Anolis sagrei: one gene and its partners. The protein of the gene in region 2 purifies or fractionates together with the protein of the main gene of each other region. This does not show direct contact. Links are inferred from orthologs where the notes say so. Each region holds a gene or a part of one and is shown on either strand. Other genes may lie near its edges.

Region 1 (10,190 bases), on a different chromosome or scaffold from region 2:
AATAACTTTTACAATGCCTTCTCTCCCCTGTCTGTCTTCCATTCAACTACAGGTTGAGCATCCCTTACGTGGAATCCAAAAGTACTCTAAAATTGTTAATATGGATGGCAGAGTGCTTTTTAATTGTTCAGTGAACACACAGTTTCATGCATAAAATAATTTAAAATGTTGTGCATAAAAATTACCTTGATGCATAAGGAAGTGAAACATAAATTAATTCTGTATTCACACTTGGCTCTCAACTCCAAGATATCTCAAAAACAGGTATTCCAAAATCTGAAGAAAAAAAATCCAAAATCCCAAACACCTTCTGCTCCCACGTATTTTAGATAAATGATGCTCAACATGTATTGTCCACACATGGCAAGACCACAGCCCAAGAAGCATGTTTGGCACCCAATGACTAACACATGCACTACACCTGTCTTTGAACAGAGACTGGTATTTGGAGGAACTTTAGCTGACTAATTCAATTCTATTTTAACAAGCTGTTCAACAGTGGAACTCTGCCTCGGAGTGAGGTGAAAAATCCTTCCTTGGAGGCTTTTAAACAGAGACTGGAAAGTTATCTGTCAGGGGTGCTTTGATTGTGCTTTTCCTGCATGGCAGAGGATTGGACTAGATGGCCATGCGGTCTTTTCCAACTCTATTAGTCTATGATTCTAATATATGTATAATGCGGATTTTAAACTGCACTTGTAACACTGTTAGCCACTTTGCATCTCAATCAAGAGATTAAATAATAGCTTCTAACAGCTGGCAGGCGAGAGTGCAAGGGCCTTGCTCTTCCCCTGAGGAACTGCAACCTTCACTTGATCCTCATGAAAAAAACGTTTAAAACTGATGTTTGTTTTTATACCATTTTATGTTATTCTTAATTGTTTTATATTTTTATTATGATTATTTTAATTGTTTTACAAGCCACTATGTATACATTTGTAGAATTATTATATGTGTCTGATGGTAAGTTTTAAATTCTGGTATTCCTAGTCCCCTTAATTTCTGAGAAATATACCATAAGCCTCTCAATAGCCTAGATCTTCTACTTCCATTACAAAATCCACTGACTAATTTCTGCCATTTTTTTAAGATCAACATGTGGCAATTTAATGGGTAACATATTACAAAATAAGTTAAATTTAGATAATATTTTCATTTTAAAAATGCCTATTCTGCCAAACTATGAGAGATTTTTTTTTGTATTCCAATAGTCTTTTTTAGATTTTCCTAACTAGTCTATCAAAATTTATTTTTTAACTCTAAGTAATTAACAGGTATTGTGACTCCCAAATACTTAATTTTGTTTCTTAATTGATCCATTATTTTTTCTTTGTCCTATGGATATTATACCTAACTTTAAAAAAGTCCTTTAACTTTTCCTTAACTTCAGATCCACAGGTGCAGTTGGGTTCAGTTATACAGTATAGAAGTGAGGACCACAATATCTTTTTCACAGCAGTACATGTGAAAAAGATCTTGGGAGTCCTCATGGGCAACAAGTTAAACATGAGCCAACAATGTCATGTGGCAGCTAAAATAACCAATGGGATTTTGGTCTGCATAAATAGGAGTCTAGTGTCCAGGGAAGTCATGCTACCCCTCTGTTCTGCCTTGGTCAGACCACACCTGGAATCCCACTGTGTCTAATTCTGGATACTGCAATTGAAAGAAGACATTGACAAGATGGAATGTGTCCAGAGGAGGGCAACTAAAATGGGCCCGGTCCTGTTCAACATCTTTATTAATGATTTAGATGAAGCGTTAGAAGGCATGATCATCAAGTTTGCAGACAACACCAAATTGGGAGGGATAGCCAATACTCCAGAGGACAGGAGCAGGATTCAAAACGATCTTGACAGATTAGAGAGATGGGCCGAAACTAACAAAATGAAGTTCAACAGGGACAAATGCAAGAGACTCCACTTAGGCAGAAAAAACGAAATGCAAAGATACAGAATGGGGAAAATGCCTGGCTCAAGAGTAGTACATGTGAAAAAGATCTTGGAGTCCTCGTGGACAGCAAGTTAAACATGAGCCAACAATGTGATGCGGCAGCAAAAAAAAGCCAATGGGATTTTGGCCTGCATCAATAGGAGCATAGTGTCTAGATCTAGGGAAGTAATGCTACCCCTCTATTCTGCCTTGGTTAGACCACACCTAGAATACTGTGTCCAAATTTGGGCACCACAATTGAAGAGAGATATTGACAAGCTGGAATGTGTCCAGAGGAGAGCGACTAAAAGGATCAAGGGTCTGGAGAACAAGCCCTATGAGGAGCGGCTTAAGGAGCTGGGCATGTTTAGCCTGAAGAAGAGAAGGCTGACAGTAGATATGATAGCCAGGTATAAATATGTGAGAGGAAGTCACAGGGAGGAGGGAACAAGCTTGTTTTCTGCTTCCCTGGAGACTTGGACGCGAAACAATGGCTTCAAACTACAAGAAAGGAGATTCCATCTGAACATGAGGAAAAACTTCCTGACTGTGAGAGCCATTCAGCAGTGGAACTCTCTGCCCTGGAGTGTGGTGGAGGCTCCTTCTTTGGAAGGTTTTAAACAGAGGCTGGGTGGCCATCTGTCAGGGGTGCTTTGAATGCAATATTTCTGCTTCTTGGCAGGGAGTTGGACTGGATGGCCCATAAGGTCTCTTCCAACTTTATGATTCTATGATTCTATCAAGGGTCTGGAGAACAAGCCGTATGAGGAGCGATTTAAAGTGCTTGGCATGTTTAGCCTGCAGAAGAGGAGGTTGAGAGGAGACATGATGGCCATGTGAGGGGAAATCATAGGGAGGAGGGAACAAGCTTGTTTTCTGCTGCCCTGGAAACCCAGGACGCAGAGCAATGGCTTCAAACTATAGGGATGGAGATTCCATCTGAACATGAGGAAGAACTTCCTGACTATGAGAGTCGTTCAGCAGTGGAACTCTCTGCCCTGGATTGTGGTGAAGTCTCCTTCTTTGGAGGCTTTTAAACAGAGACTGGATGGCCATCTGTAGGGGGTGCTTTGAATGCGATTTTCCTGCTTTCTGGCAGGGGGTTGGACTGGATGGCCCATAAGGTCTCTTCCAACTTTATGATTCTATGATTCTATCAAGGGTCTGGAGAACAAGCCGTATGAGGAGCGGTTTAAAGAGCTTGGCATGTTTAGCCTGCAGAAGAGGAGGTTGAGAGGAGACATAGAATCATAGAATCAAAGAGTTGGAAGAGACCTCATGGGCCATCCAGTCCAACCCCCTGCCAAGAAGCAGGAATATTGCATTCAAATCACCCCTGACAGATGGCCATCCAGCCTCTGTTTAACAGCTTCCAAAGGAGCCTCCACCACACTCCGGGGCAGAGAGTTCCACTGCTGAACGGCTCTCACAGTTAGGAAGTTCTTCCTGACTGGCCATGTGAGGGGAAATCATAGGGAAGAGGGAACAAGCTTCTTTTCTGCTGCCCTGGAAACCCAGGACGCAAAGCTTCAAACTATAGGGAACGAGATTCCATCTCCTGACTGTGAGAGCTGTTCAGCAGTGGAACTCTCTGCCCTGGAGTGTGGTGGAGGCTCCTTCTTTGAAGGCTTTTAAACAGAGGCAGGAAGGGGGTGCTTTGAATGCGATTTTCCTGCTTTAAACAGAGGCTAGATGGTCATCTGTCGGGGGTGCTTTGAATGCGATTTCCCTGGCAGGGGGTTGGACTGGATGACCCACGAGGTGTCTTCCAACTCTATGATTCTATGGTTGCAGTTCCCATTATCCCCAGATAGTAATCAAAAGTGGTGGGAGTTGTATTTAATAACATCTCCGGGTAAAAATTAAAGAGGACGGACCACTGTGTACAAAAATCGTAGTTGTCCCTCTGTACCCAAGGAGAACCCAAGGCAAGGCTAAAAATGTGCTGGAGATCCCTGCTGTGGTGTGAAGCCACAGTGGAAAGCGGCGCCTGCCTCCACAGAGAGAGAGGGTCCGCGCACTCGCCCTCCCCCGCCTTCTCCCCTCCCTCCCGCTCGGGCCCTGGATTTGGGCGGAAAGAAAAGGCCCCTACCGAGTACACGGGCGGCCCCCGTCGTCGGGCAACCGCCCCGGCCGCCGCCGCCATCTCCGCGCCTGCTCAGCAGTCCTCCCTACGCGGCTCCCTCGGCGGCGGCCTTCGAGCCCAGCCCGGAGGGAAGGAGGAAGAAGAGAGGGAGGCAGTCCCTCAGTCAGTAGGGGAAGAAAAGCGGAAGTGCTCTGTGGGCGCCGCCATGTTCGCTGCGACGGTGGTCGCGCGGGACCAAAATCCTTCGCCTTGACGCTTCTTCCCCTTCCTCCTCCGTCTGGTGTTGTCTTTCCGCCCTCACGTTGGTGGAGCGAAGAGCAGCATGGCCAGAAGAACAGTAGAGGAGACAGAGGAGGGCGAGCAGGAGCCTTCCGCCTCCGCCGCCCGCCTCCTCCGCGGCGCCTTGGACTCCCTCTACGACTTCGGTGCGTCTCGGCCTCCGCCTCTTTCTGATGCCTGGGATTGAACCTGTCCTGTCAATGCAGTGCTGTGGAATCCCAGGTTGAGGACCAAGCAGGCCCCATGACACTTCAGTCCTGAAGGCCCTTCCTTGGGCCCAGAAGGAGGAAGGCCTGTTAGGCCTACACCGCCTGCTTTGTGGCACACTCTCCTACCTAGAGTATTGACCAGGCACCGGCAAACTTTGGCCCTCTGGGTGTTTTGGATTTCAACTCCCACAATTCCTAACAGCCGGTAGTTAAAATCCAAAACACCCAGAGGGCCAAAGTTTGCCCATGTTTGCTATCAACTTACTTTACTTAGGCGATCCCTCGTTGGATGAGTAGGATAGTCTTTCAGGATCAGTATTCTTGTGGATCCGTAGGTGACTGTGGAGGCCTATTCTTGACCTGCATCTTCTCCCACAGTGAGGGTATTGGTTTCCACATGGAAGGCGGTCTCGTTTGCGCCTTTCTCTTGGCACGTTTTTCTCTTTCACCCTCCATTCGTGACTCTTCAAATTCTGCAGCACTGCTGGTCACAGCTGACCTCCAGCTGGAGCGCTCAAAGGCCAGGGCTTCTCAGTTCTCAGTGTCTATGCCAGAGTTTTTAAGGTCGGCTTTGAGCCCATCTTTAAATCTCTTTTCCTGTCCACCAACATTCCGTTTTCCGTTCTTGAATTCGGAGTAGAGCAACTGCTTAGGGAGAAGGTGGTCAGGCATCCGGACAACGTGGCCAGTCCAGCAGAGTTGATGGCGGTGGACCATCGCTTCAATGCTGGTGGTCTTTGCTTCTTCCAGTTTGCTGGCATTTGTCTGCTTGCCTTCCCAAGAGATTTGCAGGATTTTCCGGAAGCACCACTGATGGAATCGTACCAGGAGTTACATGTGACGCCTGTAGACAGTCCACATTTCGCAGGCATATAGCAGGGCTGGGAGGACAATAGCTTTATAAACAAGCACTTTGGCATCCCTACGAGGCCCTGTGCTTAAGCTCACCTAACTCCAGAAACTGCCTGGGAGTTGTAGTTTTACAAGATCTTTTAGCCTTTTCAGCCCAAGAGTGCTGGTACCTCAACAAACTACAGATCCCATCATTCCAAATCAAGCCCCCAGTGGCGCAATGGGTTAAATCCTTGTTCTGGCAGGACTTAGGACCGACAGGTCAGAGGTTCAAATCTAGAGAGAGTGCGGATGAACTCCCTATGTCAGCTCCGGCTCTCCATGAAGGGACATGAGAGAAACCTTTCACAAGGATGGTAAAACATCACAACCTCCAAGCGTTCCCTAGGCAACGTCCTTGAAGAGGGCCAATTCTCTCACACCAGAAGCAACTTGTCAAGTCGCTCCTGACATGAAAAAAAAATTCATTCCAAAGCATTGAATCCATGCGGATTACTGCCCTGCCTTAACACTATGGGATCCTGGGAGTTGTAGCATAGCGTGAGGTGCCATCATGGGACAACCTTGGTCTGCCTTGGTCAGATCACAAATGGAATGCTGTGTCCAATTTTGGGCACCATAATTGAAGGGAGATGTTGGTAAGCTGGAGGGCAACTAAAATGATCAAGGGTCTGGAGAACAAGCCCTATGAGGCATGGCTTAAAAAGCTGGGCATATTTAGCCTTCAGAAAAGAAAGCTGAGAGAAGTGATGGCCCTGTCTAAATATGTGAGGGGAAGTCGGGGAGAAGGGAGCAAGCTTGTTTTCTGCTGCCCTGGAGACTAGGGGCCCTTCCACAGCCCTATATCCCAGAATATCAAGGCAGAAAATCCCACATTATCAGAGTGTGGACTTAGATAACCCAGTTCAAAGCAGATATTGTGGGATTTTCTGCCTTGATATTCTGGGATATAGGGCTGTGTAAAATGGCCGTAGGAAAGAAGATTCCACCTGAACATTAGGAAGAACTTCTTGACAGAGAGAGCCGTTCAGCAGTGGAACTCTCTGCCCTGGAGTGTGATGGAGGCTCCTTCTTTGGAGGCTTTTAAACAGAGGCTGGATGGCCATCTGTCAGGTGTGCTTTGAATGTGATTTTCCTGTTCTCCGCAGGGGTGGGCTGGATGGTTCAGGAGGTCTCTTCCAACTCTATTATTCTGTGATTCTATGACCTTGTAAAACAACAGCTCCCAGGATTCCATAACATTGAACCATGACAGTTGAAGTGGTGTCAATCTGCATTAATTCTACAGTGTAGATGCACTCTCAATCTGATTTTTGGTGTGATGCCTGATGCTTTTGGCTAAAAAGCAGAGAGCAAACATTTTACAACAGTTCCAGGTGGTCTTTCAGTGCTTCACGTTAATGGTTTTTTGTGCTTCTTCCTCTAGCAGGACAGTGCTAGGAACAGCCCTTAGCCACAGTGTCTGTCTCAGAGCCTTCCAACCCATGTATTACGACATGCTAGTGTGTTGGCTGCAGTGTGTAGGTGTGTCACACAAATGTGACGAGACATGACACAACATCTTAGAAATGTAGGCTTAACAAAAATATCTTAATTTTAAAAACATATAAATGAAAAGTTTTCATAAGTAATGTTGTATCCCTATACATTTTGTTGTTACAGTGTATGTATGTGCACTTATTTCTTATAAGGGATTGGTTTAACCTCCAGTTTGCTAGTAAAACCGAATGATTGCTGTGAAATGAGCCATGCCTAAGAAGTGTGTCATCATCATGGCAGGTTTGGAAAGCTCTGGTCTATTTGTTTGTGATAATATGCAGTGTTAGTCTCTTCCAGCTTCCATGACCCAATCAGAGATCTGTTGATGATGGTGGTGAGAAAGGATTTGGCTCTTTCAATTCAGTTCTACTAAGGCTGTGAATCCTGTTTCTGTTATTGGTTAAAACAGTGGTTGGATATGTCTACACTACACTATTATTCACTCCTATTAATAAGATTGAAGGATTGACCTAGATCAAATGGTTTGGAATCTGACCAGAGGTGGTAATAATAATAATAATAATAATAATAATAATAATAATAATCTTTATTTGTACCCCGCCACCATCTCCCCAAAGGGACTCAGAGTGGCTCACAGAAGCACTCCAAGTGCCACATGCAGACAACAGTACATAAGTATAAATACAATGACAAGTATAATAACTGCATAAAAATCTCAATACATTTTTAAAATTTTGAAAATTATAAAATTCCTAAAATGTAGGTTGATACAATCTGCCCTTGTAATAATAATAACAATAATAATAATATTTATTTGTACCCCGCTACCATCTCCCCAAGGCACTCGGTGCGGCTTACATGAGGCCAAGCCCAAAGTACATCAAACAAAACATCAATAAGCACAACATCAATCATATAAATCACATAAACAAAAAAAATCAATAGTGACATAAACAATTTTAAAAATGGCTGGGCCAAATGTAATAGATTAAAATTGAAAATATGCTGATGTGAACAAGGTAAAATATAACAAGGATAGGATTTTTCGGAGAGAAATGAGGGAGTACAGTCCATCCTATGTCAGTATTAAAGTGCATATTAGGACATATTGCTGAGAGTTCTCCTTATTCTGGGAAGGCACACTGGAACAACCACATTTTCAGGCTCCTCCTAAAGACTGCCAACATTGGCACATGTCTAATGTCCCTGGGAAGTGGGTTCCAGAGTCGGGGGGCCACCACTGAGAAGGCCCTCTCCCTCGTCCCCACCAATTGCGCCTGCGAAGGAGGTGGGAGCATGAGCAGGGCCTCTCCAGATGATCGAAGAGATCGTGTGGGTTCGTACACAGAAATGCGGTCACGCAGGTAGGCGGGTCCCAAACCGTTCAGGGCTTTGTAGGTAAGAACCTGCACCTTGAATTGGGACCAGAAAATGAATGGCAGCCAGTGGAGCTCCTTAAACAGGAGGGTTGACCACTCTCTGTAAGTCGCAACAGTTAGTAACACAGCTCTAAAGTAAGATACAGTATCTATTTCCTGTTTGCTTGGTATTTATTAACAGCAGTAATATTGAACCCCACGCATCCATGGCTTATCTCAGCATCATATCTCCTTGTCTTTGTACTTGAAAGAGAAGTGATCTCATCTACCTGAACTGTGGGTTTTCAGTACTCTTCCTTTATCAAATTAACCTTTCAATCTATTCATTGCATCTGGACATGGCTTCTGTTATATGATATACATCTCTGTAATCAGTTCCTGACTCCTATGCATAGTTTCTATCCATAATTCCTATTCATAGCCACCCACATCTGATTCTTTGGCCATGCCACCTTTCTTTGCATCTTTCCCAGGTGTTGTTATCTATGAGTAGTTAGAATCCAAAGGCCTGCTAGACAGTTTTAAAACATGTTTATATCTCCTGGTTTGTTATGTGACATGGATGGCTGCTATTGTATTTCAAAAATCCTTTATCAATATGGAAACTCAAGTCGCTTCTGATGTGAGATTTGGCTGTCTGCAGAGACGTTGCCCAGGGGATGCCCAGATGTGTTATCGTCCTGTGGGAAGCTTTTCTCATGTCCCCTCATGGGAAGCTGGAGCTGACAGACAGAAGCACACCCCATCAGGAATCCTTCCAATTATATGGCTGAGTTAAATGAGATTTACAACAATTTTATCTCAAATTCTAGGTGAATCGTTGCTAAATGGAAATAAAAAGAATAAGAGAAAAAAGAAAAACTCACAAGAGAAATTCGCAATGACTTCCAACAATAATCAATCAGAAGACAAAAGGGTGACTCTTGAGTCTGGCACAGCAGTATCAAACAAAAGGAAAAATGACTTCTTTGAAGAACTGAAAAATGAATGGGTATCTGACTTTATTAATAAGAACAACAATGCAACAGAATGTAGATCCCCAAATACGACCACACAGAAACCTGCTCAGCAGGAAAATGCTTCAGATATTGAAGTGGTGACATTCCATGGTCGACACAGAAAGAAGAAAGTTAAACTTGAAGCTCCTGAAATTGATTGCTCCAAGGTAAGATTCACATGATATGCAGTAGCAGAAAAGTGAATAGCTAAGTTTTTTTCTTGAAAAAAACATTCAAGAGTTACTAGCCAACCTGCCCACCTACCTATGCTGAATTGCTGGCAAAAGGTGGTAAATGGCCTTGTTTGAATACAGAAGCTACTCTGTTGGGCCATTTGGAAGCAATTCCTATTCAGTTGCTAGGAAGGTGAACAAAGAGGCAAGTGGCTTTTGTGTTCTATCTTTCATGTTGCTAGTAGCCTAGCTAAAAAGCCTTTAATTAGCCACACCTTTAGTACCGAACTTTGCTTATGAGCTTTATATTAAGCCAAGATATTAAGCAAATTCTGATTCCCTATTCTAGCTTGTTTCCAACGAAGCTCATGTCACAAAGGGGCTGCATAGGTAGACAAAAGGCTTGTTACAGTTTCGCTTATTAAGGCATTTTGCAGATAAAATATCTCACATAAGATAGTTTATCTGCGATAGATGCTGCCATTAGGGTGCAAGCCATCAAAAAGCATCCAGCAACTCTGTGAGTGGGATTACAATGGATCAGTTTCATTTGGTGTGTACTCTTGATATGGACAAGCTGCTGGGGCAAGTAAGGACAGATGCTTTCTTGATTCCTGTCCCTCTTGGCTGGTCATCCAGGGAGGAGATGCAATTCAGCCTCAATTACAACAAATTATTAATGCATCTCTCAGGAATTTTACATCCTGTTTAAAAGAAGCAGTAGTTAGACTGCTGCTGAAAAAGCCATCCCTGGATTCCCTGGGCCTTAATAAATACAGACC
Region 2 (10,672 bases):
TGTTTGCTGTGCGCCATAGGAAAGAATAGGAAAGGGTTATGCGAGAGGCAGCGGGCGGGATCATGCAAATTCCACACCAGTGGAGAGAGGAACAAACACTGGAATGTCTGTGGTGGAGGAAACACATACAATCTAGGTGGAAATTGTCCCCGTATGAAAACCTTCACTTGGGTGGTGGGCAGTATGGCATTTGTGGAGGACATTGGCAGGGCTCTAGGACATGTTCACGGCACTCACTACAACTTGCAATGTCATTGGAGGGAGGGCCATTAGTGTCTCCTGAGTAGCTGTTTGAGGAGGTGGGAGCTTGTCTGTGTAAGTGGACACCCCAGCCAGATACAGATACATATTTTCACTTTTATTTTGTGTATAGATTAATCAAGTATTATTGTGTTTTAATTTATTTTGGTTAACTATTACTGAAGTTTTAGCATAGTAATTAAGGTCTATTTGTCCGTGTACCTTTGTTTTTGTCTTTCATTGTTGATATGGTCAGTGGACTCATGAAAAAAACAGATTTGAAATTTATAAAAAGGCGACTCAAGGCAGCTCACAATGAAACCAACACAATACAGTTTAAAACCTATGGTGTACAAACATGTCAAATAGAGTTAAGCATGAACAGTATTAAAAATAAGACAGTTAAAATCAATTTAAAAACTATTCATAGCTAGAACGTTCATGGGTCGATAGAGGTATGTTTTGTACGGGAGAGGAGATGGTCAACTGAGTACACCACCACCACCCTTGCCCTCCTGCATTTGACCCCGAGAAGCCAGAAGGATGCCGAAACTCTCTTGTATTAACATTGGATTCGGAGTCATTTGAACTTGAGAGTCAATCCCAATTGCAATGCCATTTCCCTTCTTTCTTCCATCTTTCTATAGTTCGTTAAGTGACTGAACCCAAAGGCTGCTCACTAATGATTCCACTTCATCCTGGAAAGAAGTGACAAGTAGAGTGCCATTAGCAGGGTTTGGTCTTGGCCCCGGTTCTGTTCAACATCTTTATTAATGACTTTGATGAAGGTTTAGGGGGCATGCTTCTCAAGTTTGCAGATTACACCAAATTAGGAGGGAGAACTAATACTCCAGAGGACAAGATCAGGATGCAAAAGGACCTCAACAAATTAGAGACCTGATTGGCCAAAATTAACAATATGAATTTTAACAAGGACAAACATAAGATACGACACTTAAGCAGAAAAATGAAATGCAAAGGCACAGAATGGGGGACTCCTGACTCAACAACAGTCCCTGTGAGAAAGATCTTAGAGTCCTTGTTGACAGGAAGTTGAACATGAGCCAAGAGTGTGATGCAGCAGCTAAGAAAGGCAAAGGGGTATAGTGTCTAGTTTGAGGGAAGTCATGGTGCCTCTCTATTCGGCTTTGGTCAGACCTATTTTCCCGGAATACTGTTCCAATTCTGGACACTATAGTTAAAAATAGATAAAGATGTTCAGAGGAGGACAACTAGAATGATGAAGGTCTGGAGACCATGAACCCCTATGAGGAACTGGGTATGTTTAACCTGCAGAAGAGAAGGTTGAGAGGAGACATGATCGCCATGCATAAATATGTGAAAGGATGGCATAAGGAAGAGGGAGCGGGCTTGTTTTCAATGGACTCAATGTAGCCATGTGTTCAAATGACAGGAAAGTGATTCCACCTGAACATGAGGCGGAACTTCCTGACTGTAAGAGCTATTGAGCAGTGGAACTCTCTGCCTCAGCATCTGGTGGAAGCTCCTTCCTTGAAAGCTTTTTAAAGTACCATCTGTCAGGAGTACTTTGATTCTGCTTTTCCTGCATAGAGGAAGGGGGTTGGACTAGATGACCCATGTGCTCTCTTCCAACTCTAGTGTTCTATTATTCTTTCCTGGCAGGAAGCAAGTGCTGGGCACAAAGGCAGAGGCCGAGCGGGATGGCGTCAAGGTCCCCACCACGCTGGCAGAATACTGCGTCAAGACCAAGACCCCGGCGCCAGACGAGGGCTCGGACCTCTTCTATGACGACTACTATGAGGACGACGAGATGGACGACGAGGTGGACAGCTGCTATGGCGACGAGGATGATTCCGGCAATGAGGAGTCTTGACAAGGAGGACCCCCTTCCTTGCCCCTTTCCTCCTTCCCCCCATTCCCTTTTGCCCCCTTCCAACGCTGCCTCCTCCTCCTGCTGCTGCTGCTCCTGATAGTAGCAATAAACTATCTGACTCTTTTACTTGAACCCAGGATGGATCCGGCTGAGGCTTTGGAACCCCTGTTTGCCCCGAATTGAAATGAGAGAGAATGAGAGAGAGAGAGAGAGAGAGAGAGAGAGAGAACTCTACCTCAAAAAGGGAGACTTGGTTTCTGCTTGAAGTGGCTGGGATGGGGAGGGAGGAATTCTTTCTTTTTTAGGGGGATAGATTGACCATTTGGCTTTTGGTTTAGCGTTTGTTTTGTGTTTTGTGCAGAGGAGGAGGAGTTAATCATAGGGATTTTTGAGAGGGATTGTTGATTCCCCAGGTGTTTCATTCTCGGTCGCATTGAGACGAAGCACCAAGACGCAGCACTGGGTGTTTTGAACGTTTTTGCTTCCATTTATTTTTTAAAAAACATTTATTACACTATAAGACTTTAATTCTGAATGAGGGGCATCTGAGCTTGCGGATGGAAAGGCACTAAGAGAACCAGAGCACCCCTCCTTCCATTAATTGGTGTTTTCCCTTTTTTTAGAAATGTGGGAATTACAGAGTCCGGTTCCTCACTCAGCCACTGGGAGGCACTGCTTGGCCGTCTTTCCACTGCATTGTCTTTTCACTTTGGGAATGTTTGCGTCCCCTTCAGAATGACAAGAAATGGAGATATTTTTTTTGCGAACATGGGGGGGGGTGCCTTTTCTTTGTAACAATCGTTTTGGGGGGTTTATTTTGCTTTTGTGGTTTTGTTCCGTGTTTCGGGGGAGTTTGGGGTTTAATTGGTTTCTCCCTCTTGGTTTTGAAGCTATTTAATAAAAAGGACTTTGAAAGGAAAGTGCCTTTTGGGGTGGCAGCCTCGCAAACAGCTTGCTTGTGAAGTCTGACTTCAAAAAGTGGTGGGAAAGTTACTTTTCTGAACGGCTTTGAAGTCCCAAAACATAGATTGGGCTGCGGAGAGCAGCCTGGTCCATGGAACGTACTTTTTGTGTTTGATATGTTCTTGATCTTCATCTCCGATGGTGTACTACAGCTATTTAACCTCAGCAGACTGAAAGCCAAAACCAAGTTCACAGTAACATCTGTTATAGAACTCCAGGATGCTGATGATAGATAGCATAGTCTGTACACATTCAGAAGAAGACCTACAAGCCATTCTAAACACCTTTGCAGAAGCATACGAGAAGCTTGGCTTCTCATTGAACATCAAGAAAACCAAAGTGCTTTTCCAGTAGTCACCAGCCAATCCCTCTGCAATGCCAGAAATACAGCTGAATGGTTTAATGTTAGAAAATGTTGACCATTTCCGCTACCTTGGCAGCCACCTCTCCACAAAAGTCAACAGTGACACTGAAATACAACACTGCCTGAGCTCTGCGATTGCAGCATTTTTCCGAAGGAAGCAGAGAGTGCTTGAGGATTGGGACACCCGTAGGGAGACCAAGGTGCTTGCTTATAAAACTTGTTGTCCTCCCAACTCTATATGCCTGTGAAACGTGGACTGTCTACAGATGTCACACTCAACTGGAACAATTCCTTCAGCATTGCCTCCGAAAAATCCTGCAAATCTCTTGGGAAGACACGCAGACAAATGTCAGCATGCTGGAAGAAGCAAAGACCACCAGCATTGAAGCGATGCTCTTACGCCATCAACTCCACTGCTGGTCACATCCGAATGTCCGATCACCGTCTCCCAAAGCGGTTACTATACTCCCAGCTTAAGAATGGAAAACAGAATGATGTTGGACAGGAAAAGAGATTGAAAGGTGGGATTAAAGCTAACCTTAAAAACTGGCATTGACACTGAAAACTGAAGCCCTGGCCCTTGAGCGCTCTGACTGGAGGTCAACTGTGACCAGCAGTGCTGTGGTATTTGAAAAGACACAAATGGAGGGTGAAAGGAAGAAATGTGCCAAGAGGAAGAAGGCATATCAAGCCAACCTTGACCAGGACTGCCTTCCACCTGGAAACCGATGCCCTCATTATGGAAGAACATGCGGGTCAAAAATAGGGCTCGACAATCACCAATGTATCCAATGCCCAGAAACTACACTTACCTTTTTATTTATTTATTTGGAGTGCTTCTACCCCGCCCTTCTCAACCCCCTAGGGGGGGACTCAGGGCGGCTTACAAAAGGCACAATTCGATGCTCAACAATTCACAAAATACAATATACAATTTACAATATAACGATGACAGTTATAACTAATTAAAACAGTCAAATTAAAACAACAAGAGCAATAAAATCATCTTGTGGTCAACGTTCATCAATTCATAAATCCATAATCCATCTAGCAATGTCATTGTCCTTTCTTACTCTGGTCGTCATTGTCTTTTATCCATCTGCCAGCTTACCCAAAGGCCACCTGGAAGGCCATCATACCCAGACAACGAAGGATCGCCTAAGTAAGTACAGCTCCTATCATCCCCAGCCTGTGTGGCCTTATGGTTGGCGTAAACTGTTCATACAGACGTATCGATACAAAGGTATAATCCCGTTCCAACTTGTAACAATTCCCTCTCTTCATAATTTTCCAGAGTAGAGATAAATTTGCTCAGGGCCAGATTAAGGTCAAAGGTGTAAAAGAGTTCCTAAAAACCAGTGGGGGCCTCAGAGGGTATCTGGTCCAACCCTGATGGAGGGCCATCCCATTCTTCTAACGGTCACAAGGAAATGGCAAGCAAATAGACTTGGCCAGGCTTTGTATTGTGAAAAATAGATATTTAAAAGTATATAAACATATAATTTGTATAATTTATAACAAATATTAATACAGAGTACAAATATTAAGGGTTGGCTTTAGCCTGCAGCTAAATTATATATTTTACAGACATATATATTATATTAATAATATGTATTATATATATATAATTATTATAATGCTATATAATATAAAATATATTATATTAAATGTATATACAGACATATATATTATAATAATAATATGTATTGTATATATATAATTATTATAATGCTATATAAAATATATAATTTAGCTGCAAGCTAAAGCTGACAATATGTATGAGTTTAAACTTTTGCAGATGAGATGATATGATAGTCTGCTTTCCTCTTCTAAAGTGGCTGCGGTCTCTTTAAGAATCTGAGTCCTCTAGTGCTATTTACATGAGTAGGTGGGGCTCGTAGTTAGCTCGCACGTTTCATTGGTTTTGGGTAACGCCAGTCGTGAGAATCGGCGCCACGATTGGCCAGTGCCCGTGCTTGACGTAGATGGCAGCGACCGCCTCTTGTGTGTGTGTACGTGACCTGGTGTAGTAGCCTGAGATGCCTTGCGGGAGTGACTTCGGTTTCCGGCCCGTCCTGCCTCCTTTAATCTTTCCTATAGGTGGCTAGCTTGTCGATCAAAGGCCCTTTGAAGCCCCGCCTCCCACCGGGCAGGCTAAAGTATCTGATTGGCTGGGGTTTTTGACGTCACCCTCTCCCCCTTCTTGCCGTCCTCAACCGTCCTTCCTCGCGTGCAATCGGATTGGCCCGCTTTCTCGGGCGGTGGAGCCAATAGCGGCGCCTCTCGGGGCTCGCGCCCGTCGGCCATTGGCTCTTCCTCGGTTTCTCCGCCTCCGGGGGGTTACCAGGCGTCCGCCATTCCTGAGGAGAGGAGCAGAGCGACGGAGCGGCAGAAGCAGCGGGAGCCATGAGGGCGATGGTGGCGAGAAGGCTGGTGCTGGCCTTGGGCGCCTGGCTCTGCTGTGCGAGCGGCGCCTCGGCCGCGGGTAAGAGGTCCAGGCAGGGAAGGAAGGAGGCGCCGAGGCGGAAGGGCTTCCATTCCTGAAGGGAAATATAAGGCTTCGAGGGGACATTTCATATTCTGAGGGGAAATTAAATATTCTGAGGGGGAAATTTCATATTCTGAGGGGGGGGGGGGAGTAATTTTCGGAGAGAAAATTTCATATCCTGCGGGGAAATTTCATATTCTGAAGGTGAAATATAATTGTCTGAGGGGAAATTTCGTACTATGAGGGGAGAATTTAAAATTCTGAGAGGAATATTTGTATTCTGTGAGGGGATTTCATCTTCTGAAGTTGAAATATAATTATCTGAGAAGAAATTTCATATCTTGAGGGGGGAAAATTATATTCTGAGAGGAACATTTCATATTAAGAAGTTGGAATATAATTTTCTGAGGGGGAATTTCATATTCTGAAGTGAAAATGTAGTAACCTGAGAAGAAATGTCATATCCTGAGGGGGAAATTTCATATTCTGAAGGGAAATTTTATATTCTGAGAGGGAAATTTCATATCCGGGGGTGGAGATTTCATATTCTGAAGGCAAGGCCTCTTTAAATTGGGTTTCAAAATCCTCAAATAAAAGGATCTTTGCTCCGATAGCAACATTTAAATAAAAGGATTTTCCCCAGATTTCCTCCATATTCACATACATATACAGGCGTTCCCTGTATTACAAACATCCGACTTACAGTTAAGAACAAGGGTGAGACAAGAAGTGAGAGAATCTACTCCTTGGAAGGGAAAGCCACTTCTGAAAGAATTATCAGGGGGAAAAGGGGTCTCCACTGAATCTTTAGCACCAATCCTTGTTTCCACGTCAAGCCAAATTATCAAAAATCCAATCATCACAGGGACGGGAAGTGGGGTGAAATCTACTGAACAAGGGCACAGACAGAAGGATAACCCCACCTGAGAAGGGATTTCATATCCTGTGGGGAAAATTCTATTCTGAGAAGGAAATTTCATATTTTGAGGGGGGAAGGCAATATTCTGAGAGGGAAATTTAATATCCTTAGGGGGAAATTTAATATTTTGTGGCAGGAATGTAATATTCTGAGAGGAAATTAAATATTTTGAGAAAAAAATAATATCTTTAGGGGGAAATTTCATATTCTGAGAGGAAAGTTCTTATTCTGAGAAAAAAATATATATCCTGAGATGGAAATTTCATATCCCGAGGGGCAATTTCATATTCTGAGTGGGGAAGGTAATACTCTGAGAAAAAATTAAATATCCTGAGAGGAAAATTCCATATTCTGAAGGTGAAATATAATTATCTGATAATCGATTTTATACCATGAGGGGAAATTTTAAAATTCTGTGAGGAATTTTTGTATTCTGAGGGGTGGAGGGGATTTCATATTCTGTAAGCGAAATATAATTATCTGAGAAGAAATTTTGTATCCTGAAGGGGAAATGTTATATACTGAGGGCTAATTTTAAATTCTGTAGGTAAATTTAAAATTCCAGGAGGAAATGTCTTATTTTGAGGGGAAATGTCATATTTTGAAAGTGAACTATAATTATCTGGGGGGAAATTTCATATCCTGAGGGGAAAAATATAATTATTTGAGAAGAGATTTCATATCCTGAGTGGGAAATTTCATATTCTGAGGGTAAATCTAAAATTCTGAGAGGAAAATTCTATTTTCTGAGGTGGAAATTTCTTATCCTGAAGGCAAAATATAATTATCTGATAATAGATTACATATCCTGAGGGGAAATTTCTTATCCACAGGCAAAATCCTGAGAGCTAATTTGAAATTTGAGGGGGATCTTCAGTCTCTGAAGTTTTCATTTCTAAGGGGAAATTCAGGAAATTCACTGTTTGGAGGGGACATTTCCTCAGGGTCTTTATGTCATTGGGAAGTGAAACGGAAGACGGATTTTTATATATATATTAAACTCGCTGGATTCGTATTACGAAGAAAGGATTCACAGAAGGGCGTCCATTTAGCAACATTTAAATAAAAGGATTTTCCCCAGATTTTACCAGGGAAGATGGGGCCTCCATATTCACATACATATACAGGCATTCCCTGTATTACAAACATTCGACTTACAGTTAAGAACAAGAGTGAGACAACAAGAAGTGAGAGAAATCTACCCCTTGGAAGGGAAATCCACTTCTGAAAGAATTATCAAGGGGAAAAGGGGTCTCCACTGAATCTTTAGCACCAATCCTTGTTTCCACGTCAAGCCAAATTACCAAAAATCCAATCATCACAGGGACGGGAAGTGAGCTGAAATTACTGAACAAGGGCACAGACAGAAAGATAACCCCACAGGGTGTTAACCCTTCCCTATGCTATCCAGAGCTAAAGGATATATATGGATATATATATATATATATAGTTAAAAATGTCCCTTTTCAGACTTGCATACAAATTCAATTTAAGAAGAAACCTACAGAACCTATCCTGTTCATAACTTGGGGACTGCCTGTATAGCATAATGCTTAATACAGCCAGCCCTCCATAGCCATGGACTTTGCACCCACAGATTCTGCTGAAGAATTTTTTCTTAAAAAAACCACACAATCATAGACTTTGGAAGAAACCCCAAGGGCCATCCAGCCCAACTCCATCCTTACATGCAGGAAGACCGAATCAAAACAGTCCTGACAGATGACCATTCAGCTTCTGCTGAAAAGCCTTCAGAGAAGTAGACTCCACCGACACCAAGAAGGCATATTCCACTGCCGAACAGTTCTTCCCATCAGGAAGTTCTTTCTAATGTTGAGGTGGAATCCCTCTTCCTGGGGAGATTCCAGTCTTGGAACTGGGAACAGGTAGCGGGAATGAGAGCACCGCTGTCCTGTGCTGTGCTTTTTGGGCAAAGTAAGTAGGGTCTTGTAACTGGAATAATGAAGGGAGTGAGGATGAGAAGGCTGCCCTATAATATGATGTGGGCTAAGCAGAGCAGTAGGAAGAGAGAGCTGTTTCATAATGAGAGGAGTGGGAGAACAACAGGATAAAACAGCCCTGCAATGCATTATGGGACAGGGATTGATCATACAGCTAAGGGGAGTCACTGTTTTACAAGCCTTAGTCATAGAATCATATAACCCTAGAGTTGGAAGAGACCCCCAAAGACATCCAGTCCACCGCCCTTCTGCCATTCAGAAACACACAACCAAAGCACTCCCAGCCGATGGCCATCCAGCCTCTGCTTCAAAACCTCGAGAGAAGGAGACTCCACTGGATTTCCAGGCAGCATATTCCACAAACGGTTCTTACTGTCAGGATGTTCTTCCTAATGTTGAGATGGAATCTCTTTTCCTATAGTTTGAAGCCATTTCTCCATTGTATCCAGCAGAAGAACAAGCCTACTCCATCCTTAATGTAATATCCTTTCAAATATTTAAACATGGCTCTCATGTCTTCTCTCAGCCTTTTTTGCTCCATATAGCTAAGCATGCTCATACTGCCTGGATTGTGATAATAAGGATCAGGCAGATACCCGAAGTATTCTTTGCTTTGAAGAATCTACAGTCTAAATATCAATCCTTTGGAGATGGAAATACAAATACATGTAAAGCATTTGTAATATTAATAATGGAAGATAAGCCCTCAGTATCATCTCTATTATAATCAGTGTGGTAAACAGAGGATTCTTGTGTTGCAGAAATCTCTTCATAGGTGGGCTGCGGGGGAGGGGGGTGGAGGCAGCAGCACATCACTTTGGCATGTGTAGAAACAGATGCATTACGCACATGCCCTTTATGTAATCCTTGTTGTGAGTGGGCCACCCTGAGAGGGAGAGGGGGACGTGCTAGATTGGCTCTGATTGCTGCAAGCCTCTCCTGGCTTGCACTCTGCTTTGTGTACTAATGAATAGCAGTTTGGTGATTTGAAAGAAAGGCAAGGCTTGCTCCGATAGGGAGGCCATGAGGGGACAGTGGGCACTCAGATTCGCCTGGGCTCTTCCTTTGGGGATCCTAGTTCTGCCCGTCATTCCTGCTACATCCTGAGTTTTGCTTCTTATGGATGCTTACATTATTTCATTGTGGACTCATGTGATGGAATCCTCCTTCATAAGAGAACCTTTGAAAAAAAAAAAGGAAGGGATGCATAGTCCCAGATTTTGGACAGAAAGAACATTGTGGGAGCAGGGGTTAAAGAGACCAGTCTTGGGGAGTTAGATTTCCCTTCAGTTGTAATAAATCTATATAAATAAAAATGTAATGTTCATTTGTGGGATAAACATAACTCAAAAACCACTAGACGAATTGACACGAAATTTGGATGCTATACCTCTAACCGGCCAACGAGTGACCATCACTCATAACCTCCCCCCAAAAAAGCGGAAAGGACTTAAAACCCCCAAAAGCTAAATGACGGAAAGCTAAATGACTATACAGAAAAAAAAGGGAAGGAAGTAAAGAGGGAGGGAAGGAAGGAGTTCAAGAAAGAAAGAAAGAAAGAGAGAAAGAGAGAAGGAAGAAAGCAGAGAAAGTAGGAGGGAAAGAAAAAGGGGGGAGGAAGGAAAGAGGTAGAGAAGGAAGGAGAGAACGAAAGAAAGGGAAGGAAGGAAGGAAAGAGGGATCAAAGGAAGGAGGGAAAGAAGAAGAGAAAGAGAGAGGGAAGGTTGGCCACAGCAACGCGTGGCAGGTACAGCTAGTAAATAAATAAATAGGCAACCCTTGATGTGCTGTGTTATATAAAGGACACCATTTTGCTCTGCCTTCAAAAGCAAGGTGAGATTTTATTGTGCACTATCTTAGGTACCCGGCAATGCCCGGGTTA
Region 3 (10,641 bases), on a different chromosome or scaffold from region 2:
CCCACCCCTCCTTGTCTTTTGAGCACAAACGTTCAAGGTTGTTGTTGTTTTATAGGGTCCTTTGACGTCCTCAGCCTCGTAATCAGTGGAGGGCGAAAGGCACAACCACCACCCTTGACAACTGCTCCTAGAATCTGTAATCTCTTTTCCTGCAATTAAGCGGTTTATGTGGGGAGGAAAGGGGAAAGAGAAACAGCAACTCCTCCTGAGTGGGCCGCATATTCAAAGGTAAGGGCAAAGGCTTCCCTTGACATTGATGTTGGACTCTGAGGGCTGGTGTTCATCTCCATTTCTAAGCGTTGTGCATAGACACCTCCAAGGTCATGTGGCCAGCATGACTGCTTGGAGAGCAGGTTACCTTCTTGCCAAAGTGGTAAGCAACTGATCTAGCATTTGCATGTTTTTGAGCTGCTAGGCTGGCAGTATATTAGCAAGTACCAAAAGAGAAAAAAAAAAAGGACTAGGGAGGAATGGGGTGTGGAAGAGATTCCGCTCAACCGAGGAGCACATTTGGGCAGCAGAACAAGTTCGACCAGGATGGTTTTCTCCCCCCCCCCCCTTTTCAAAAAAACAAACAAACCCCAACCCATCACTCCTGGCTTCTAGTTCACCTGGGCAGAGGAAGCAGACGGTCTCCCATCCGTCCCTTTCGCCCTTGCTCCGCCCCAGGCGGCTAAGGGAGGCTGGGAGGCGCCTTCCTCGGCTGCCCGACTCCCAGAGGAAGCCCACCCGCTCCCCCTCCCTCCGATCTCCGCAGTGGCGCCACATTCCTCCACAGGCTCTGAAGTCTTCCCCCCTTCATCCTCCTCCTCCTCCGCCCCTAAAACACCCTAAATGCTGAGGATCCCAATGTGTAGAGAAGGCGAGGGCTCGGCGCCCTTCAGCCGCGCCCCTCCAAAGCAGCATTCAGCAAGCTAGCTCTCTCTCTCCTTCTCCCACCCCCGACCTGTCGAGCTGCCAGCCAGTAGCCCATTGGTCAGTGTGGCACAGGAGACTCAGGGTGGATCTATAATGCAGTTATAAACGAAAAGTCTCAGGTTTGAATCCAGGGAGCGGCGTGAGCTCCCGCTGTTAGCCCCAGCTTCTGCCGACCTAGCAGTTCGAAAACATGCCAGTGTGGGTAGATCAATAGGTACCACTTTGATGGGAAAGTAACGACACTCCATGTAGTCACGCCGGCCGCATGACCTTGGAGGTGTCTACGGACAACGCCGGCTCTTTGGCTTAGAAATGGAGATGAGCACCAACCCCCCCCCCCTCCCCGAGTCTAGACTTAATGTCAGGAGAAAACCTTTACCGAAAGCAGTTTTGATTCTGCATGATATGAGCACTGTAGTGGGGTACATCCATTCATTCTGACACACCACTTCGATGCTGTGGGATCACGGGAAGCGCGGTTTCAGAAAGTCCAAACTCAGCCTTCTCGGCTTCACCAAAAGGACAACCCCCCCCCCCCCCGGGGACGCCACAACCTCGAGCCACAGAAGTGGGGTCCAGAAGGGTCCATTCTGGGTCAGAGACACCTTTGGGTTGCCCCTCCGCTGCAGAAGGAAGGCGTTGGGAGAGCCCACGCCTCCCTCTGGCCAAACTGTACCAAATCCTGGGTTGTTGTAGGTTTTTCGGGCTATATGGCCATGTTCTAGAAGCATTCTCTCCTGACGTTTCGCCTGCATCTATGGCAGCCATCCTCAGAGGTTGTGAGGTCTGTTATGTGGTCTGTAAGACCTCACAACCTCTGAGGATGCCTGCCATAGATGCAGGCGAAACGTCAGGAGAGAATGCTTTTAGAACATGGCCATACAGTCCGAAAAACCTACAACAACCCAGTGATTCCAGCCATGAAAGGCTTCGACGATACATTGTACCAAATCCTCCAGCGGGGAAGGGTCCAAACTGCGCTCGTCCTCCAGTGTAGACGAGGGCAAACACACCGGGCCGGAAAAGGCGCTCCCTTTTCGCACTCCACGCCCCAAACTGCCCTCGCAAAAGGCACAGACCCGGCATTGTGCTGCCCAAAGGAGAGGAAGAATCGGGTGACTGTGCTGGGAATAGCCGGGCGGGAGAGAGAGAGAGAGAGAGAGAAAGTGGGTGTCGTCGTCTGCTTTGGGGCAGGCCTCACCTGGAAGAATGTGCCCTAGGTAGAGAAGGGGCCCAGGTGGTGCAATGGGTTAAACCCTTGGGCTGGCAGAACTGAAGACCCACAGGTCGCAGGTTCTAATCCGGGGAGAGCGTGGATGAGCTCCCTCTGCTAGCTCCAGCTCCTCATGCGGGGACATGAGAGAAGCCTCCCACTAGGATGGTAAAAACATCAAAAACATCCGGGCATCCCTTGGGCAACGTCCTTGCAGACGGCCAATTCTCTCGCACCAGAAGCGACTTGCAGTTTCTCAAGTCGCTCTTGACACGAAAAAAAATGAGAGCAGGACGACCGAAGTGATCAAGACCGATGTGGGGTAACTCCAGGGTGAGGACTTGCTCCACGGGGGGGGAGGGGGCTCCTCTAAGAAAAAATAAACCTCTACGAAAGGGGTTGAAACTGCCTTCAAACAGCAGGCCATTCAATGCTAAGCAAGGTGACCAAGTGCAACATTCACACGTACCTCCAAGCAGACAAGAGTTCTTTCTCCCACCCTGGGCATTCCACAGATATATAAACCTCACTTAAGTTTCCAACAGACCCCTCAACCTCTGCCATAAATGTAGGTGAAACGTCAGGAGAGAATGCTTCTGGAACATGGGCATACAGCCCTGAAAACTCACAGCAACCCAACCCCATTGGGCCCTTCCACAGAGCCCTATATCTCAGAAAATCCCACATTAGGCTCAGATAACCCAGCTCAAAGCAGATATTGTGGGATCTCCTGCCTTGATATTCTGTGTGGAAGGGCGCTTAGAAACTCCACAGTCTGGGGCGAGGGGTTATTTCTCCCCACAAGGGAAGGAAGGGGCCTCTCCAAAAACCACGCATTGTATGCTCAGTGTGGACTTGTTTCCTGCAGAGTGGGCGCCTCTCCTGCACTGACCACACAACTCATACAACGGCGTGGAAGGGACTCCATGATGTGGGTCTGCACTGCATGATTTGGGCCCGAGTCCGCCTCCTTTCCTTTCCCCTCCCCTTCCTTCTCCTCCGCCCAAGATTCCCTCTTCGTCGGCAATTTCGCACCGGACGCAGGGAACACCCTGATTTTTCCACGCCTCGTTCGCGCCCAGCCCGGGGAAATCACACTTTCCTGAAGCGGAAAGCCCGGGACGAAGGCGGTTCACCAAGCAGGGCTTGGCTGCTGCTGCTGTTGTTTGTCCCTCCCGAGGCGGGCCTCTCCTTCCTTCCTCCCTCCTTCCCTGCGTCCCCACCCGGCCTCCCTCCAGGACAGGAATCGAGTCTTTGCCGCAGCCTCCCCGCCCTGGCTTCCCCTCCCATCATCCCCAAACCCGGAGAGCCCACAAGTCAAGCGAGAGAAAAGGGGGATTGGGGAGCCTCCCCGGCTTACTTGGGCTCTGGGAGACGAAGAGGGCGACCCGCCCAGCCGCTGCCCAACTTCACGGCCCCAGAAGAGAAGCTGAGCCGCTTCACGCGCTGCTGCTGCTGCTGCTCCCGCTGCCTTTCCTCCGCCTCCAGTCCTCTAGTCTGCCACAGGCTGGGGAAAACCCCTGGATTTCCATAGAGGAGGAGGAGGAGGAGGAGGAGGAGGAGGAGGAGGAGGAAGGGGGCGGGAAGGAGGAGGACGAGGAGGAGGGGAGAGCAGAGCAGAGGAGAGGGCGCCTGGGAGGAAGCGCAGCGCTTTCGGACCGCGGCTCTCCTCCGCTCCGAGTTTGGGAGGAGAAAGGAAAGGAGAGGCTGGCTCCTCTTGGGTTTCCTTCAAACTCTGCGAAGCCGCAGCGCCGTGGGTCCCCCCGCCTGTCCCCCTCCCCGCCTCTCTCTCTCTCTCTCTCTTTTCAAACCCAGCCTTTCCCCAAGCGGAGTCCCGCCTGCTTGGAGGAAAAGCTCGTCATGGCAACGCAGCAGCCAAGCCCTGCCACAGACTCAGCCCCGTCCTTCGCAAAAGGGAGGCAGCGAGGCTGTTAAGGTGGTTTCGCGCTCAACCGACTCCTGGTTGTGCCTGGCTTCCCTTTTAAGGGGGAAAGGAGGAGATGGCGGCGCCTCGAGGGGAACCCACGTGAAAGGAAGGGAAGGGAAGGGGGGAAACGACCCTCTTGGAGGCTTAGAAGACCACAAGTTGTGGGATGCAGCAACTAAAAAAGCCAATGGGGTTTTACATCAAAAGAAGTGTAGTGTCTAAAAAAAGCCAATGGGATTTTGGCCTGCATCAATAGTCTAGTGTCAAGATCCAGGGAAGTCATGCTACCCCTCCATTCTGCCTTGGTTAGACCACACCTGGAATACTGTGTCCAGTTCTGGGCACCACCATTGAAGCAAGATATTGACAAGCTGGAATGTGTCCAGAAGAGGACGAGTAACATGATCAAGCGTCTGGAGAACAAGCTCTATGAGGAGTGGCTTAAAGAGCTGGACATGTTTACCCTGAAGAAGAGAAGGATGAGGGTAGACATGATAGCTATGTATAAATATGTGAGAAGAAGTCATAGGGAGGAGGGAACAAGCTTGCTTTCTGCTTCCCTGGAGAATAGGACGCAGAACAATGGCTTCAAACTACAAGAAAGGAGATTCCATCTGAACATGAGGAAGAATTTCCTGACTGTGAGAGTTGTTCAGCAGTGGAACTTTCTGCCCCAGAGTGTGGTGAAGGCTCCTCCTTTGGAGACTTTTAAACAGAGGCTGGATAGCCATCTGTCAGGGGTACTTTGAATGCAATTTTCCTGCTTCTTGGCAGGGGGTTGGACTGGATGGCCCATGAGGTCTCTTCCAAATCTATGATTCTATGATTCAGTGGTTCCCAAATTTGTTCTTAAGTTGAATTTGTATGTAAGTCAGAACAGGTACATTTTAAAGTGTAACTCCAGCCAAATATATATACTTTATGTATAAGTTTTGGATAGCACAGAGAAGTGTTGACACCCTTGTAGTGTTTGCTTTGCTGTCTGTGTCCCTGTTCAGAAGATGTTACCTCACTTTCTGTCCCTGTGATAATTGGATTTTGAAATTTGTCTTCTGGAAACAAGGATTTGTGAGAAAGCATCAGCATAGAACACCCCAGCAAGCGAGAGTTCAAAAGTGGCAGGCTCAAACCCAGAACCTCAACCAGTGGCTGATACCAAATGAGAGACTCCCCCTGGGCACACAGAAAACTGGGCAACTTGGAAGGCGCTGAACAGACTGCGCTCTGGCACCACGAGATGCAGAGCCAATCTTAAGAAATGGGGCTACAAAGTGGAATCCGCAACATGCGAGTGTGGAGAGGAGCAAACCACTGACCACCTGCTGCAATGCAACCTGAGCCCTGCAACATGCACAATGGAGGACCTCCTTGCGGCAACACCAGAGGCACTCCAAGTGGCCAGATACTGGTCAAAGGACATTTAATCAACTACCAAGCTTGCAAACTTTGTGTTTTGTCTGTCTGTTTGTTTGTTTTGTTAAAAATGTAATACAAATGTCTGGTTGCTGATGACACAATAAATAAATAATTATCAGCAGAGATATCCCTATGATAACTCTTTCAGAAGTGAATTTCCTTTCTGAGGGTGAGATTTCTCTCACTTCTTGTCTCACCCACATTCCTAATTATGAGTCATTTGTAAGTCAGATGTTTGTAACATGGGGACTACCTATACAGTAGAATCTCACTTATCCAACATAAACGGGCTGGCAGAATGTTGGATAAGCGAAAATGTTGGATAATAAGAAGGGATTAAGGAAAAGCCTATGAAATGTCAAATTACATTACAGTGGTCCCTTGCCCTCTTTACCTTCCTCTTCCTCCTCCTCATTTCCACCTGGGCCTCTTGCCGCCGCTTGGGCCCTGCAATTGAGGAAGTGTCGCGAGACCCAAGCAGTGGTAAGAGGCCCAGGCAGCAATGAGAAGGAAGAAGAGGAAGGTAAAGAGGGCGAGGAGGGAAGAAGAGCTGCCCCTTTGCCCTTTTTACCTTCCTCCTCCTCCTCCTCCTCCTCCCCACCTGGGCCTCTTGCTGCCGCTTGGGCCCTGCGATTGAGGAGGCAGCGGAGGTGTTGCAGGGCCCAAGCAGTGATAAGAGGCCCAGATGGTGACGAGGAGGCAGAAGAAGGTAAAGAGGGCGAGGAGGGAAGGGGAGGTGGTGTCCCTACTTCACGGAATTACACTTATTGTGAATGGTCCTGGAACATAACACCCACAATAAGCGAGGGGCCACTGTATGATTTTACAAATTAAACATCAAAACATCATGCTTTACAACAAATCGACAGAAAACGCCATTCAGTACACAGTAACATTATGTAGTAATTACCGTATTGACCAATTTAGCACCAAAACAGGCAAGGGTTCTTTCTTTCTCCCACCCTGGTCATTATTCCACAAGTAAACATACACTCCATTTTCCTCACCTGTGAATCCCTGTGGGTGGCAGACTGCGTTGGTTAATACAGAACTTTGGATACGCGAAGGTTGGATAAGCGAGACTCTACTGTAATTCTTATTCAAAAAGTAAATTCCTATTCACACGGAGGAAGCCTAAAAGGCCATTAACTTGGTCTAAACAAGCTTCCAAAGAACATGACATTCGTGAAAGAGAAAAATAAAAGAACAGAATGACAGCTGAACTTCTGAGGAAGAAAACACTACAACATTTTTAAAATGTGTATGTCACAATATATACTTATATAGTGTATATATGAGGCCCCCATTGGCGCGGTGGGTTAAAACACTGAGCTGCTGAACTTGCTGACAAAGGCTGGTGGTCCAAATCCAGGGAGTGGTGTGAGCTCCCACTATTAGCCCCAGCTTCTGCCAATCTAACAGTTCAAAAACATGCAGATGTGAGTAGATCAATAGGTACTGCTACGATGGGAAGGTAACAGCGCTCCAGGCTGGCTGCATGACCTCATAGGTGTTTACGGACAATGCCAGCTCTTCAGCTTAGAAATTGAGATAAGCACCACTACCCAGAGTGGGACACAACTAGACTTTCTGTCGGGAAAACCTTTACTATACAAGGCCCCTAGACAATGCAAAACATTCACTGTTATTAACTCATTCTCGAATAGCTCCCTTTAAAAATCAAATTGCCCCCCTGTGGGGCATGTTCCCCATGTTGGAAACCAAGCCTCTAGATCAAGGGAAGTTGTGGTGTCCCTCTATTCCGCTTTAGTCAGACCTCACCTGGAATACTGTGTCCCGTTCTGATCACCACCATTCAAGAAGGATATTGACAAGCTGAATGTGTCCCGAGGAAAACACTTAAAATGATCAAATGTCTGGAGCAATGCCCTATTAGGAGTGGTTTTAAAACTTGGCATGTTTAGCCTGCAGAAGAGAAGGTTGAGAAGAGTTAAGATAGCCATGTTTGAACATTTGAAAGGATGTCACAAGAAAGAGGGAGTGGGCTCGTTTTCTGCTGCCCTGGAAACTAACAACCTCATAATTTGGGGCTATTTTCGGTGGGATACTCCAGTTCCTCTGCAGTTTTGCGACTGAGTCTGTCAGATCCCACCACATGACTTGGAAGCACTTCTGGCGGGGCTCCGTCACAACACCGAAGAGGAAGCAGCATATGCCGCCAATGTGTCAACATGGGAGGCTCTTGTGTTGCATTGGGATCAACGGGGAAGTTGGGTGGCAAGCACTTCCCCCCCATAGGATGAGGTAGGGGGGAAGTTGGGTGATGCAGGTTGTGGGGCAACGGATACCCCCTGCTGGGCAATGTCAGATTCACCATGATCTGTGGCAATTTCGGCAGCATATATGATGAAGTCATAGGATTCCAGGTAATGGGTTGAAGTTATAGGAAAGGAGATTCCTCCTGAACATTAGGAAGAGCTTTCTGACTGTAGCAGCTTTTCAACAGTGAAACTCCACCAGTGATGGCTTCTTCTTTGGAGGATTTTAAACAGAGGCTGTGTTATCGAAACACCAGGATCCCTAACTCACCAATAGTTGCATAAGCACTACATACACACCCCACACTGCAGGGCAGGGCTCAACATTAAGAATAACCCTACTCCCTTCACAATGCCCTGGAACTCAGAAAGAGCCACAGGGTTCTTTCCAGATTTTATCTCAGTATTTTCCTGGGAACATTTCCTCATCCCGATTGCCAGATCAGATCCCCTCCCTGGGAATCCCATTCAAAGAGTGCCAACATACTCAGCACTCATTGTATGGTCAGTCAAAACCCATTGTCCTGTTCTGGCCAGACAGGAGCAGAGCCATCAAATCCCATTACCTCTGATTCACTCATATTATTTCCTCCCTACTGTCATGAAAGGCGGAATGAGAAACAGACACAAGACTTCAAACTGAGCAATGACAATTTATTAAATTTCTTTCATACCTGGGGGCAATCAACAATTACGCAGGATGGCACTCCTAGTCCTATCAGGGAGCAGATACGAGCTGGTCACAATCTTGACCGATGTCAAATGCTATAAATATTTCTGTATGTTTACACTGAGTTATGTCAGTCTTTGGAGTGCAGACTTTACTGACAGACTCTTCTGACCAAAGGAGAATAAAGTCTTCATCCTGACTCTGTTTTGTTTGGTCCTTTGGGGAACTTTACACACTGGACTTCTGAACCTGTGGACGTTTGAATCTGTGATACTTGCAGAACTGAAATCACTCAACAGCTGGATGGCCATCTGTTGGGGTGCTTTGATTGTGCTTTGCCTGCATAGCAGGGGCTGAAGTGAGTGGTCTGTATGGTCTCTTCCAACTGTATGATTCTAAGATTTCATTGATCAATGAGGTGCTAGCAAAGAATGGGAAGCATGAGAAACTTTGGAGAGGTTAGCTTGTGTGGATGCTGTGGGCCATTATTCAATGCCACAGCTCTAAAGAAAAGGTAGAAGGAGAAGATGAAGAGGAGGAGGTGGGATTCTGTTGATTCTACCACCCACCCACCATATGTCTTTATACCAGAAAATTGTCAAGAAAAGAATAAATGGTAGTGTGGTAGGAAGAAAATCAATTCATTTTAAATGTGGAGCTGAATTGGAGTTTGAGAAAATATGTGATGAATAAAAGGGCCCCAAAGCAAATCAAGTTTGAACTCTGTCTAGAAGCCAAGATGACTAAACTGAGATTGTTATAGAGTGTGAAGACATGACTCACTAGAAAAGGCAGTAATGTTTGGTAAGATTGAAGACAGGACGAATAGAGGAAGTCTGTTTTCTATGTGGAGGGATACCACCACAGCTGTGAGTTTGCAAGACCTGAATAGATGGAGATGTTGTGACTTGGAAGTCTCTCATTCAAGGGGTCACCATAAGTCAAAGCCATCTTGATGGTAGTTTAAAATAATAAGTGGGAATTGTAGTTCTATATTGTTTTAGGAAGGAGCATACCTGGCTTCTTCACAACATCTTCATGGTCCATCTTGTAAAAGAAAGCTGTCTTAAGAATGCATGTATTTGCCTTGAAGTTTCCTGTTGATTTATGGCAACCTCATGAATTTGATAAGGTTTTCTTAGGCAAGAAATATTCAAAGGTGCTTTTGCCATTTCCTTCCTCTGAAATATAGGCTACAGTACATGGTACTCATTGGTGGTCCTCATTCAGACCTTGCAATAATAATAATAATAATAATAATAATAATAATAATAATAATAGGAGGAGGAGGAGCAACCCAGGGGCCACCCAATCCAACCTCCCTCTGCCTTGCAGAGAAAGCACAGTCAAAGCAGCAGCTGGGAAGCCTTGCTTCCCTGTCTAGGAAGCACATGGGGCTTCCACACTTCCAGCACCAGCACAGCCTATGAGGCCTCCACTGCTGGCGACGCAGCCTATGGGGCCTCCACGCTACTGGCAGCACAGACATAGAAGCCTTGTAGGCAGCATCACTGCTGACAATGTGGAGGTCCTGTGTGCTTCCTAGATGAGGGTTGGGGTGGGTGGGGAGTATGAGCCTGCCACAGAGCCCCTGACTATGCTTTGCGGTGTCCTAAGTGCTCCACAGAGCACAGTTTGAGAACAGCTGCTTTAGAGGATTTTGGATCTACTTTGGCCCAATTTCTACACAAAATATAGTTCCAAAGCATGGGCCAAACAGGGCCCAAATCCAATGGTTACTCTTATCTAACAACAACAACAACAACAACCTTTTATTTATATCCTGCCACCATCTCCCAAAAGGGACTCGAGGCAGCTTACAAGGCACCACAAGTGTAGTATATAACATAAACAGGAAATGTGTATAAAAACAGTATCACATAAAAGTTATAAAAACAACCACTATTAACACATAAAATAAAATAAAAACACAGTTTAAAATGCAGATCAATTGCACCAACGACGGTTATGTAACTTGATTTAACACTCCCTTTTATTTATTAGGTCTCTTCTGGCTCAGGTTAGCAGTTGGAATGGTATCTCACCAGGCACCGTAAAATAAAAAGGAATCTACTAGAAGGAATGGCCCACAGTCTCAGATGTTTCTACACTGGGTGGGAATCATATGTCCATACAGAGGTTGCTGAATTGTATTTCCTCACATTGAATATGCTGGACAAAGATGCTGCAACATCCCCTCCTCCCATGCCACACACAA

Evidence for each region.
Region 1: the proteins of BSG (region 2) and GNPAT purify together in Homo sapiens (affinity purification with mass spectrometry; 3 studies listed by BioGRID and IntAct, counting the BioPlex papers as one, with this or other methods). This does not show direct contact. The link is inferred for Anolis sagrei from reciprocal best matches to the Homo sapiens genes BSG and GNPAT.
Region 3: the proteins of BSG (region 2) and ATP2B4 purify together in Homo sapiens (affinity purification with mass spectrometry; 3 studies listed by BioGRID and IntAct, counting the BioPlex papers as one, with this or other methods). This does not show direct contact. The link is inferred for Anolis sagrei from reciprocal best matches to the Homo sapiens genes BSG and ATP2B4.

What each region holds. Positions count from the first base shown.
Region 1 is NC_090021.1:62,109,250-62,119,439, reverse strand, and holds the start of GNPAT (dihydroxyacetone phosphate acyltransferase), read right to left. Parts: upstream 4,160-10,190; 5' UTR 4,079-4,159; coding exon 4,025-4,078; intron 1-4,024. Other genes in the region: C1H1orf131 (uncharacterized protein C1orf131 homolog), read left to right, coding at 4,341-4,443, 9,050-9,402. UniProt on the Homo sapiens protein: Dihydroxyacetonephosphate acyltransferase catalyzing the first step in the biosynthesis of plasmalogens, a subset of phospholipids that differ from other glycerolipids by having an alkyl chain attached through a vinyl ether linkage at the sn-1 position of the glycerol backbone, and which unique physical properties have an impact on various aspects of cell signaling and membrane biology.
Region 2 is NC_090034.1:52,359,024-52,369,695, forward strand, and holds the start of BSG (basigin), read left to right. Parts: upstream 1-5,762; 5' UTR 5,763-5,828; coding exon 5,829-5,907; intron 5,908-10,672. Other genes in the region: CDC34 (ubiquitin-conjugating enzyme E2 R1), read left to right, coding at 1,885-2,095.
Region 3 is NC_090024.1:191,985,443-191,996,083, reverse strand, and holds the start of ATP2B4 (plasma membrane calcium-transporting ATPase 4), read right to left. Parts: upstream 3,921-10,641; 5' UTR 3,492-3,920; intron 1-3,491. UniProt on the Homo sapiens protein: Calcium/calmodulin-regulated and magnesium-dependent enzyme that catalyzes the hydrolysis of ATP coupled with the transport of calcium out of the cell. By regulating sperm cell calcium homeostasis, may play a role in sperm motility.